Sus scrofa: one gene and its partners. The main gene of each other region encodes a partner of the protein of the gene in region 3 in a complex. Links are inferred from orthologs where the notes say so. Each region holds a gene or a part of one and is shown on either strand. Other genes may lie near its edges.

Region 1 (3,647 bases), on a different chromosome or scaffold from region 3:
GGGCGCCCATGGGCCCCCCGGGCTCCCCGTACATGGGCAGCCCCGCCGTACGACCCGGCCTGGCCCCCGCGGGCATGGAGCCCGCCCGCAAGCGAGCAGCGCCCCCGCCCGGCCAGAGCCAGGCCCAGAGCCAGGGCCAGCCGGTGCCCACCGCCCCCGCGCGGAGCCGCAGGTAAGTGGGACCCAGCGCCGAGGGGGCGGGCCGCCGGACCCGCAGGGAAGGGGTGGGCGGGGAGCCGGATTGGAAGCGGGGGGAGGAGTGATCGGCAGGGGACAGGCGTCCTGGGTGGGGTGCCCTCTCGGGAGGTGGGCTGAGGGGGCACTGGTCCGATTCCTTTGTGTGCCCACCGTAGAGACAGGCTGCGGCCGTCACGCCCTTCCTCCTTGTCACCTGCTCTGTGCCTCTCTCCACCCCTTGTCCCCAGGCTCTGGGTGATGCTTCAGGCTGTGGGGTGGAGGCGGGGCTGACTGAGGGCAGAGCTTTAGAGACCGTTTCTTGGTGTGGTTGTCCAATGCGCCTTCCTCAGAGTCCCCGGCCTGACTGTTGAAAAGCCCACTCCAGATCTTCTTCATCTGAATTAAGGGTGGAGCCGGGGAATGTGCCCTTTGGATGGGCAGTCTCTGCCCGGGGGTGCTCTCAGGTGATTCTTAGGCACGCGAACGTTGGAGAGGTGCCATAATCTGCCCTCTGGACCACCTCTGCCCCCAAACCACCAAGGACCAGCCTGTTTCCTTGTCTGAGCCAGCTGGTGGCACCCCAAAAGCCCCTGCTGGTGCCTGGCAAGAGAGATACCCCTCTGGGTTTCACTATTAAGCCAAACACACATGCTTCCCTTTGCACACCAGATGGAGTCCTATAAAAGGCACAATATGGATTTTACCTCATTATTAAATATTTTTTACTTATCGAGGAAAATTCACCCTCTATAGGAATCTTATGATGAGTTCTGTTGCAGAGTGAGTCGTTCTTTTATACAGTAAAAAAAAGTCCCTGATTTAGCTCGTATAAATGAAGAGTTTTACCTAATGTGTTCAGGACAAATTAGACCTTTAATGAAAGCTGCTTGTCCGGCCTTAGAATTGATTTGGGGACAGGTAGGGGCAGGGGTGGAGAACACCACACGGGGGCAGTATGCAGCCATCCTCTAGGCTGGGTTCTAATTTCTACTCGCCAAGGATTTTCTGAGGTGCTTTTGGGAGTCAGGAGCAGCTAGTGGATCAAGAGGTGACCAAGTCCCAGCCGCTACTGCAGGTGCAGCCCACAGCTACACCCGACAGGAGACACCCAAACCCACTCCCTCTGCATACCCATGGGTGTGTCCCTGGGCACCCCCTGCCCATCAGGGTCCCCTTCAAAGCCCAGGGTGACAGAGATGCAAGTCCTCACCAGCTTTACACCATCCCTTCCTGCTCCAGGGATGGGGCAGGGGGCCGGCTCCCCTCCCTCTGAGCTCAGGCCACCTTGGACTGTGCACCCCTGCTTAGCAGAAAAGGAAAGTCCTCAGAATCCAACCTCCTTCTCCTCTGACCTCCCCCCTCCCCAGCTGCCCCCAAGCACTTCTGCAGCTCCCCTACCACCAGCCCCTTCTGAGTCTAATTTCTCTGGCCCCTCGGATGTGGTGGAGCAGAAGAGGGGCTCCCGGGCTAGAGAAAGGACGGGGTCACCTCTGCTCCCTATGAGAGGACAGAGCACCAGTGCTGCACACCACCATCGTAGCCCCTTGGGCAGGCTGTGGGAACCCCAGCCAGGCGGGCTGAGATGTCGGGATAATTTAGCAGGTGGCCTCGTTACTCCCAGATCTGTCGCCATGGTAACGTGGTTTTTTCTTTAAAAAATGTACAGTGCCAAGAGGAGGAAGATGGCTGACAAAATCCTCCCTCAAAGGGTGAGTGCCTTTCACAGCAGCCCCCAGCCACCCCCCACCCTTTGCTGCTCCGCCCTCCTTCCCCCTCCCCTCCCCCCCCCCCCCCCCCCCGGTCTCCTCCCCTCCCCCCTCAGGAGCAGATCTTCTGCCTCACAATCACTTTCACTTTTTGTTTAAAAAGCTAATTAAGAAGTGAGGCTCTCCAGGCCAGAGGGAGGGGGTGGGGCGAAGGGAAGAAGCCGAGCCATAGGGGGCAGGATACTGGGTCTGGGGTGCAGTGGATTGAATGCCAGCGGTGTGAAGACATAAAGGCATGAGACAAAGAGGGGATGAGAGCTCAGGGATCAGAGGCTGGCAAGGGGAGTGAAGGGAACAGAAGCTGGCCAGGAGACCCGGGCATCATAAGAGGACCCAGGCTGAGTTGGGTATGGACTTAGCGTGCTTGAGACATCAGGTGGAGCAACTGGGTGAGGTGCCAGGGTAGAGGCAAGCAGCGACTTCCCCTGTCTCAGGGAGCCCAGGACCCGAGGGGAGCCCAGAGGCCGGAGGACCAGTGAAAGGACAGGATGAAGAGGTGGAGCCCTTGCTGGGCTCTGTGGTCTCTCCGGCTTGTGCCCCACACGATGAAATGCACGACTCTTTCTAGCGGGAGAAGCAGTTTTTATCCCTACGTGTCAAGCCCCTGGGGAGAGGTCTCCCGGCCTCTCAAACTTCCACCCCCGAACCAGGCGCTCCCCGCCACTCTGTTCTGGGACCATCTGACACCTGCAAGATTGGCTGAGCCCCTGGTTCCCTGCCTTGCTCTTCTTCCAGATCCGAGAGCTGGTCCCAGAGTCCCAGGCTTACATGGACCTCCTGGCGTTTGAGAGGAAACTGGATCAAACCATCATGCGGAAGCGGGTGGACATCCAGGAGGCTCTGAAGAGGCCAATGAAGGTGTCTTGGTTCGGGGGCGGGAAGAGGGCGCTGAGTCCTATGCCCAGAGCAGAGAAGCGGGCTGGCCCTGGCACGGGGCGTGGGGGGACGGGGAGCCCCCAGTGTTCCCTCTGTACTACACTCTTTATTTCTACAGCAAAAGCGGAAGCTACGTCTTTATATCTCCAATACTTTTAACCCTGCGAAGCCTGATGCAGAGGATTCGGATGGCAGCATAGCCTCCTGGGAGCTGCGGGTGGAGGGGAAGCTCCTGGATGACGTACGTCCTGGCCCAGGTCTCTCCAGGTGTCCTGGGGTGGGTATGGGGCTGAGCTGAGGCCAGGCCCAGACGTTTGCCCGGAGGGTTAGGGTGACAGCCCTGGCCAGGGGTGGGGGGTCTGGAGAGACCTCTGGTGCCGAGGCCTGCTGCTAACTGTGCTGCCCTCCCCGACCAGCCCCCCCCACTCCCAACGCGCTCCACCCCCGCGCTCCCTGTTCCGTCCCCACGGTCCGTTCCTCTCCCACAGCCCAGCAAGCAGAAGCGGAAGTTCTCGTCCTTCTTCAAGAGTTTGGTCATTGAGCTGGACAAAGACCTCTATGGCCCTGACAACCACCTGGTGGAGGTGAGACCCAGAGCCCTTCTGCCCTTGAACAGCCTCCCCCCCTGCAGACCACGGTCCCACCGGCCGCAGCCTGGGATCAGGGAGCCCCGGTGGGCCTGTGAGGTGACCCAGTTCTCCTCTCCGGGACAGTGGCACCGGACGCCCACAACTCAGGAGACGGACGGGTTCCAGGTGAAGAGGCCGGGGGACCTGAGCGTGCGCTGCACGCTGCTCCTCATGCTGGACTACCAGGTCCGTGCCCCCA
Region 2 (3,647 bases), on a different chromosome or scaffold from region 3:
ATTTGAGAACTCTTATGTGGGGGTAGGATGCGTATAGTTCGGGAGATAGAGGGGGGATTCCAGATGTGGGCAAAGCACAAAGCATGTTCAGGGGACAGTGACGACCCCAAATGGGGCCTGGAAGATGGATGATGAAAATATGGCTGGAGGCGTGGGCAGATGTTGGTTCTGAATAACTCAGTCTTTCCTCCTCTCCACCTTCTGTGCGTTCCACTAGGACCAGCTGCTCTTCTGCGATGACTGTGACCGCGGCTATCACATGTACTGTTTAAATCCTCCAGTGGCTGAACCCCCAGAAGGTAAGGATGATGGGGTTGACAAAAACAACAGCTACTTCCACCACTTACCGAGCCCTCGCTACTGTGCAGGCCTCGTGCTAAGGGCTTGACATGTCTTGTCTCATTTAATCATCACAACCCTACGAGGTCAGTGCGACCACTACCATGCTACAGATGAAGAAACTGAGGCACAGCTTCAACCAGAGATTTCAACTTGAGGGCCAGAGAGATGATTCCCAGACATACGGCTGAGATGAGGGGAGGTGTGAGCTTCTAGGGGAAAGGGGAGACCCAGGGATGCTGGTTAAAAGGCACAGCCAAGAGGGCTGGTCCTTCCAGCAGTCAGCTGACCATCTCCGAGCACTTACTGTTTTCTCAGCTGAGGGACAGACTTCAGAACGTTTTCAGGCCTGGGCCTCCTCTCTGAATCATGCAAGTCCAATAAAAGAGGGCTTGCAAAGGGTTTAGGGCCCAGGGGTTGGAGAGGGGCAGCCAGTAACACCATCTCGTTTCTTACAGGGAGCTGGAGCTGCCACTTATGCTGGGAACTGCTCAAAGAAAAAGCCTCGGCCTTCGGCTGCCAGGCCTAGGGCCCCAGGTCACGGGATGTGACTTGCTGCCGGAGAGGCTGAACCTGAGCCCGGTTCAAACCAGATCGAGCCCCTACTCCCATATATCCAGACAGACCAACTGTTAGGAACATCAGTGACCACAGAGGGCGTGGACACATGGAAGCAAGAGGGTGAGGGGTCCGCTCACCTCCTACACACGGGTCTCCGTACTCAGCCAGCACCCCCTTGTTTCTGCCAGAAAGATGGGAAACTTTCGAAGAACGAGCCCAGCCGCAGCCCCATGGAGGCCCCTCGCCCTCACCCCAGCCCTGCGTTGCTCGCACTGGTCCCCGTCGCAAAGAACCACTGGGCACCCTGTGACGACCCATCTGTCCCTCATGTGCAGTTTGGTGTTTCTATCTATTGTGTTCCGAGATATCTTCGCCCAGCCTCCCTGCCCCCAGCTTAGTCTCTTCATCCTGAACTCAGCCCAGGAGCAAAGGGCTGTGGAGAAGTTTTTATTTATTACAAGCCTCCCTGGAAACTTCTAGACTCGGAGCCCGGAGGCCATCTAGACGAAGGAGCCCTGAAATCCTTCCTTGCTCCTTGGTCTCTGTGAAGAGGAAGAGCTGCTTTTTGGGCCCCCCTTGGATGTCCAGGGGTGTCCACAGCCTGGTGGTCTCTGGATGGGGCTGGGGAGGGAGGGGGCAGCAGGGAGGGGCAGGTAGAAATGTTGAGATAATTCAGAGGCCCCGCTGGAGCCGGTCAGTATTTGCTGTCCATCGTGCAGCTTTGCCAGGGACCAGCCCCTTGGAGCTGGGGCCTCCTTGAGGAGAGGAGAGGGAGCCTGTGGCAGAGGAAGACGCCAAAACTCAGCCTTCCACTCAGCCTGGGTCTGGAGCTTCCCCGACTGGGACTCAGGAACCAGGAAGGTGAGTGAAAGGGCTGCCAGGTCAAGAGTCTGGATGACGGTACCAAGCACGGCCGCTGAGAAACTCTGCAGTATTGATGTGACACTGCGAATTCCTTTCCCGAGTAATTCCTTCCCTCTGCATCGTGTGTGTGTGTGTGTGTGTGTCATTGCCCACTGAGAACTGATTCTGGAAATTTCAGGATCGGGGAGAAAGGAGGGTCCCCTCGACAAAGAACTGGGGTGATGTGATAGCTTATGACCAGGATGAGAGTCACACAGAACCCTCAGCCCGAGGGCTGCCCTGGTCTCCTACGCTCCCCACTAGATGCCAAACTCTCCTTTTGAACGAGTGTTTCGAGAAGAAAGAGCTGTTCCAGGAAGTCTGTGTTAGAAGTCAGCCCCGGGGGCTGGAGCAGACCGGGTTGCCTTTGCCTCTCTGCGGCAGGGGCCACAGCAGCGACACACAATAACTGACACGTTTCTGGAAAACTCATTTGCCCAAAGGGCAGGTCTCGGTGAGCGGGACCCTGGCGCATGCTCGGCTTCCCTGAAATCAGCTCCATCTCCGTGGCCGGCTGCTTACAACAAAGACCCGGGTTATTTCTGTCCTTCGGCTCCTGAAGAAGCCCCTGGAGGCCCGGAGGCTCCGGCCACTTGGGCCCCTCCTGTCCGGCCGCAGCGTTCGGACTTGCCAAGAGCCCGCCTTCCGGGCTAATTGCTCTTGGCCCGCAGACCCAGGGCAGCCTGGCACGGAGCCGAGCCATGCTGATCTCCCCCGTCCTTGGCAGGGTGACCCGTGGTGAGAGAAGGGGGTCCCTTTCCTGCAGGGGCCCCGTGGAGGGAGTTCCACCCATATGTGATGATCTCGTTTAAGGGCCCCAGCAGATGGGATTTTCATCTTCATTGCAGGATACTTCCTTCCCCTGCTGCTTGGTGAACCTGTTGGGGATTCTGGAGGCCCAGAGAGGGTTTGGGAAGTGGCCGTGTGGTCTCATCACCCCTTTATCTGGGAGGGTCTCGTCGGAGGACAGATTTCCCCTACGGATCGCTCCGGCTCTCTGTCTTCCCACAGACCCCGAAGTGGGTGTCCTCAAAGGCTGGTTATTGGTTTTGAAAATCACTTTGGTTTAATTTTAGGAAGAAAGTCATCGAAATGTTCACATCAGTCATCAAAAGCCACGAATGGCTTAAAAGTTAAAAAAAAAAAAAATCAAATCTGAAACCAAAACAGTGGCCCTCCAGGTGACAGACCCCTTTAGAGCATTTGCACATCTGTTCCCCAGCTCAAGGCAGATGATGGGGTGGTCCTGTTCTCTCTCCAGGCGTGCCTGCTGTGACAGCTTGCAGGCCAAGGAGGGCGCTGTAACCTCCTGCAGGGGTGAGGGTGGCCAGGGCTCTGGACTGGACATCAGGAAGGCCCAGAGTTCCCTTCCTGGTTTCACTCCCGCAGGATGGGCCTGACCCCTTCCTTCTCAGAGACCTCAGTTTCTACGTGGAAAGTGGGGGCAGCAAAGCCAGTTTGTGGGTGGCACCTGCAGGATACTGCAAGCAAACAAAAGTGACGGTCACCTTTATCGCCTTCTGTACTGAAAAAAGGAAGGTGTTGGTCAACTTCACATTGCTCTTTATTTGGGCCCCAGAGAAAGAGCCAGAATATCACAAGGTGCATGTGGATGGTCAGGGTTTTCATTTTGCCCCGGCCATCGAGTAGCTGCGTGACCTTGGGCAAGTCACTTAACATCTCGGAACCTCAGTTTGCCTGTCTGTGAAATGGAGGTAATAAGACTTGTCCTGTCTTTTCCATAGTAACACTGGGACTCTGAAAAAGCATAACGCTATATCAATAACTGTGGGAGAGCTGCACTGGTCAGGTAGGGACCCCAAATGATTTCTATCCCCCTTCTC
Region 3 (3,647 bases):
TCTAGGAGCATGGAAAGAGTCTAGGACTGGATGCCAACATCCCTGGATACCAGTTCAGGGCAAGGTAGCTTTTTTTTTTTTTTTTTTTTTTTTTTTGCTTTTTAGGGCCACACCCTTGGCATATGGAAGTTCCCAGGCTAGGGGTCGAATCAGAGCTATGGCTGCAGGCCTATGCCACAGCCACAGCCACAGCAACATGGGATCTGAGCCACATCTGCGACCTACACCACAGCTCATGGCAACACTGGATCCTTAACCCACTGAGAGAGGCCAGAGATCGAACCCACATCCTCATGGATCCTAGTTGGGTTCGTTAACCACTGAGCCACAAAGGGAGCTCGTGATCAAGCATCTTAAGCCAACTCTTTGTTCTTCTGTGTTTCTTTACCTGCACATAAAGTGTTAAAATTTAACGATTCACCATCTGAAGCCTGTCCTTTGTATTATGGAAATTTCCAAATATAATCAAAAACAGAGAAAATAACATAATTTCTCAGAGAACCAACACTAAGCAACAAAAATTAACTCATGATGACTCTGGTTTCATTGCTATCCTTCTCCCACCCTCTCACTGCAATCCCAAACTGGGCTGTCCTAAGCAAATTCCAGACATAATCTTTCATTCGTAAGTATTTTGATAAGTATTTCCAGGGGAACGAATTGAACAGGCTTTGCACAAATAATTTCTTTTTGTTTGTTTGTTTTCGTCTTTTGTCTTTTTAGAGCCGCACCTACAAGTATATGGAGGTTCCCAGGCTAGGGGTCAAATAGGAGCTGTGGCCTCTGGCCTTCGTCACAGCCACGGCAATGCGGGATCCCAGCTGTGTCTGTGACTTAAACCAAAGTTTATGGCAACGCCAGATCTTTAACCCACTGAGCAAGACCAGGGATCGAACCTCTGGTTGCTAGTTGGGTTTGTTAACCACTGAGCCACAACAAGAACTCCAAAAATAACTTCTTATACTTAAAAAGTGTTACAAACATTGCTGTTGATAGGAAAGGTCCAATTAGAGGGACGTTGGTCTCAGACTGGCACTGCAGGATTGACTGGGGACAAGTCATTGAGCATCTGAGGGCTGATATTGCTGAGCCATGAAACAGACACAGTAATTCCCACTTCTACTTCTGATTAAGCAGCATTATGAGGTTAAATGGAATAAAAACTCTAATGTACCCTGGAAGATTTCAAGAGAAATCTTCACATATCCCAAGAAAAGGACATCTAACAAACATTTTCTTCACATGATACAGAATAAAAGGGACACACTGCAAAATCTTTAAGAAGCAGCTCCATTCCAGAGAAGCATAGGGTTTTCAGCCAGAGGTGTCACTCTAGCATTTGACTGCATGACAGTGGCTTCATCACTCCGTTTAGCTGCTGTCTGCCCCATGGATGAGCGTGAATCTCAAATGCTATTATAACTCTAATTGCTTTTGGCTATGGTTGATTTCACTTGAAGAAAGAGTGATAAAAAACTTCAGTTTCTCTGTTATCTGTATATTCCATCATTTAATTGCAAAAATTAATGATTTGCAAATGCCTAATCATTAGTGTCAAACCAATCTGTTACTGAAGTTCTAATTTAGTTTCACTTCAGTTGAATCAGACAAATTTGACTGCTTACTGCTCAAATTACTATAAAATGGTCTCCCCAGCTAGTTAGCGATCTCTTGGACAGTCTCCTCCCTCCCCCAAAAAGGAGAGGAAATCAGGAGGAGATGGTAAGATTTACTAGTACCTGGCCACAGAGCCTTTGAAAATATGGTGTTTACTCTCTGAAATCCAAAAAAAAAAAAAATGAATGACAACACAATGCAAACCGTAATACTATCAAGGAAGACTGTGTCACTTAGAATTTTCCAGGGACATAATTATGGGTTAAGGCTAATGATTTTATCTTCATCCAATACTCAGGCATTATGTTCCAGAAAGAATGTACAGGTCTCCTATCAAAAGATATCACACACAGTTTTCTAAAACCCACAGTGTGCTCTGAGGTCCAATTCCAAAAATAAATGGTCAATAAAACCAAATATGCGGGTCAGTGATATAAGCCGATCCCTTCTAGGTTTATACATCTACTAGAAAATAAAAGTGGAAATGAAGTGATTCATGAACAGCCTTTGACAGTAACGGGACTATAACCAAAAGAGCAACATTTCAAGATTAACTTAAAAGTCACTTTTTACACTGTTAGAGAAAAATTCTTGCCACTTAAAAAAAAAAAAAAAAAAAAAAGCACCCAAGGCTTCAAAAAAAGAGAACTTCTTACATTCTAGGATACAACTTAATGAGATCTTCATTCAAAACAACTTCTGTCATTAGTCTCCAAGAGGTAATCCTTTAAAAAAAAAAAAAAAGTCGTTTCTATCCTTCCAGGTCTGCTTATCGAAACTCCTGCAATATACAGCACCTGCCTTTATGTGAGAAGCTATCATCTGAACAGCAGTGCCACCCTAGGACATGGAAATACTATACTCATCAGCAGTAGCCCTAGATTTGTGGCACTGCATTGTCTACGAAAGAGAAGATATTTTTACTCCACCCTGTGAAGTTCAAAGGAATGAATTAACATGTTTGATAAGCAGCTTCTACTTTCTCCTTCAAATATGGCATGTTTAACAATCTCAGTATAGACAGGTCGGCGGGGGGGGGGGGGATTTTCCTGGATTCCTGTAGGCAAGCCCCTTACCATCAATCTCCTCATTCTCTCTTTTTCAATCCGCTCGGTCTCTTTCTTCTGTTCCCTTTCGGTGTTGGCATGCCAAGTGGCCACTGCCTTGGAAAGCTTCTGGATCTTCCCTGCCACAGATCGATGATACTCCTTAAAATCTTTTGCATGTTGCAAAATACTGTTCAGGTATTCCTAAAGGATTCAGAGCAGGGAGAAGGAATGCTTAAAACCCAGTTTCCAATATCATATAAGGTTTCAACATAGTCCAGGAAAACTCTCAGTGTGGACCAAAAAGCGAGGGAAAACTAAAACCTATTTTGAGATAGATACCATGGTATGTCTCCACAGCTTAGGTGTGGACTACACATGGTAGAATAGATGATTTCTCAAAGTTTTTTAGTTTTGGTTTGTTTTTTGTCTTTTTAGGGCTGCTCCCATGCATACAGAGGTTCCTAGGCTAGGGGCTGAATCAGAGCTGCAGCTGTCATCCTACTCCACAGCCACAGCAACGCCAGATTCAAGGTGGCACATCTGCAACCTAGGCCACAGCTCACGGCAACACTGGATCTTTAACCCACTGAGCAGGACCAGGGATTGAACCCATGTAGCGTTCATTACTGCTGAGCCACAACTCCTCAAAGCTTGTTTTGATGCCAGCCTATGGAAGAGAAGCCTCCCAGGCCTTGAAGGCATGGGTACATGACAATGGAAAGATCAAAGATGGAGAGGAACCCACAAAATGGTGACGACAAAATTTAAAGCAAATAACATTCAAATAAACCTTGGGGAGAGGAGTCCCTCCAGTGAGAATCATGTTATAGAAGTAGTGTTTCTTCTCCTCTAACTTAAATACTTCAGAATTGTGACTCAAAATAAGTTTTATAGGAAGGTAAAATCACCAGACATAATTTGTGTCTGCTTTTTAAATAAAGGAGAGGAAACGCATAACTGTATTTACACGAAAGTCCAACA

Evidence for each region.
Region 1: SMARCA2 (region 3) and SMARCD3 share a complex: the UniProt entries of both Homo sapiens proteins name them as parts of the BAF complex. The link is inferred for Sus scrofa from reciprocal best matches to the Homo sapiens genes SMARCA2 and SMARCD3.
Region 2: SMARCA2 (region 3) and DPF3 share a complex: the UniProt entries of both Homo sapiens proteins name them as parts of the BAF complex. The link is inferred for Sus scrofa from reciprocal best matches to the Homo sapiens genes SMARCA2 and DPF3.

What each region holds. Positions count from the first base shown.
Region 1 is NC_010460.4:5,982,423-5,986,069, forward strand, and holds part of SMARCD3 (SWI/SNF-related matrix-associated actin-dependent regulator of chromatin subfamily D member 3), read left to right. Parts: coding exon 1-172; intron 173-1,843; coding exon 1,844-1,886; intron 1,887-2,097; exon of another isoform or gene 2,098-2,194; coding exon of another isoform or gene 2,195-2,290; intron 2,291-2,678; coding exon 2,679-2,801; intron 2,802-2,937; coding exon 2,938-3,060; coding exon of another isoform or gene 3,061-3,096; intron 3,097-3,307; coding exon 3,308-3,403; intron 3,404-3,532; coding exon 3,533-3,634; intron 3,635-3,647. UniProt on the Homo sapiens protein: Involved in transcriptional activation and repression of select genes by chromatin remodeling (alteration of DNA-nucleosome topology).
Region 2 is NC_010449.5:95,981,751-95,985,397, reverse strand, and holds part of DPF3 (zinc finger protein DPF3), read left to right. Parts: intron 1-217; coding exon 218-299; intron 300-797; coding exon 798-868; 3' UTR 869-3,647. UniProt on the Homo sapiens protein: Belongs to the neuron-specific chromatin remodeling complex (nBAF complex).
Region 3 is NC_010443.5:219,770,358-219,774,004, forward strand, and holds part of SMARCA2 (probable global transcription activator SNF2L2), read right to left. Parts: intron 2,868-3,647; coding exon 2,694-2,867; intron 1-2,693. UniProt on the Homo sapiens protein: ATPase involved in transcriptional activation and repression of select genes by chromatin remodeling (alteration of DNA-nucleosome topology).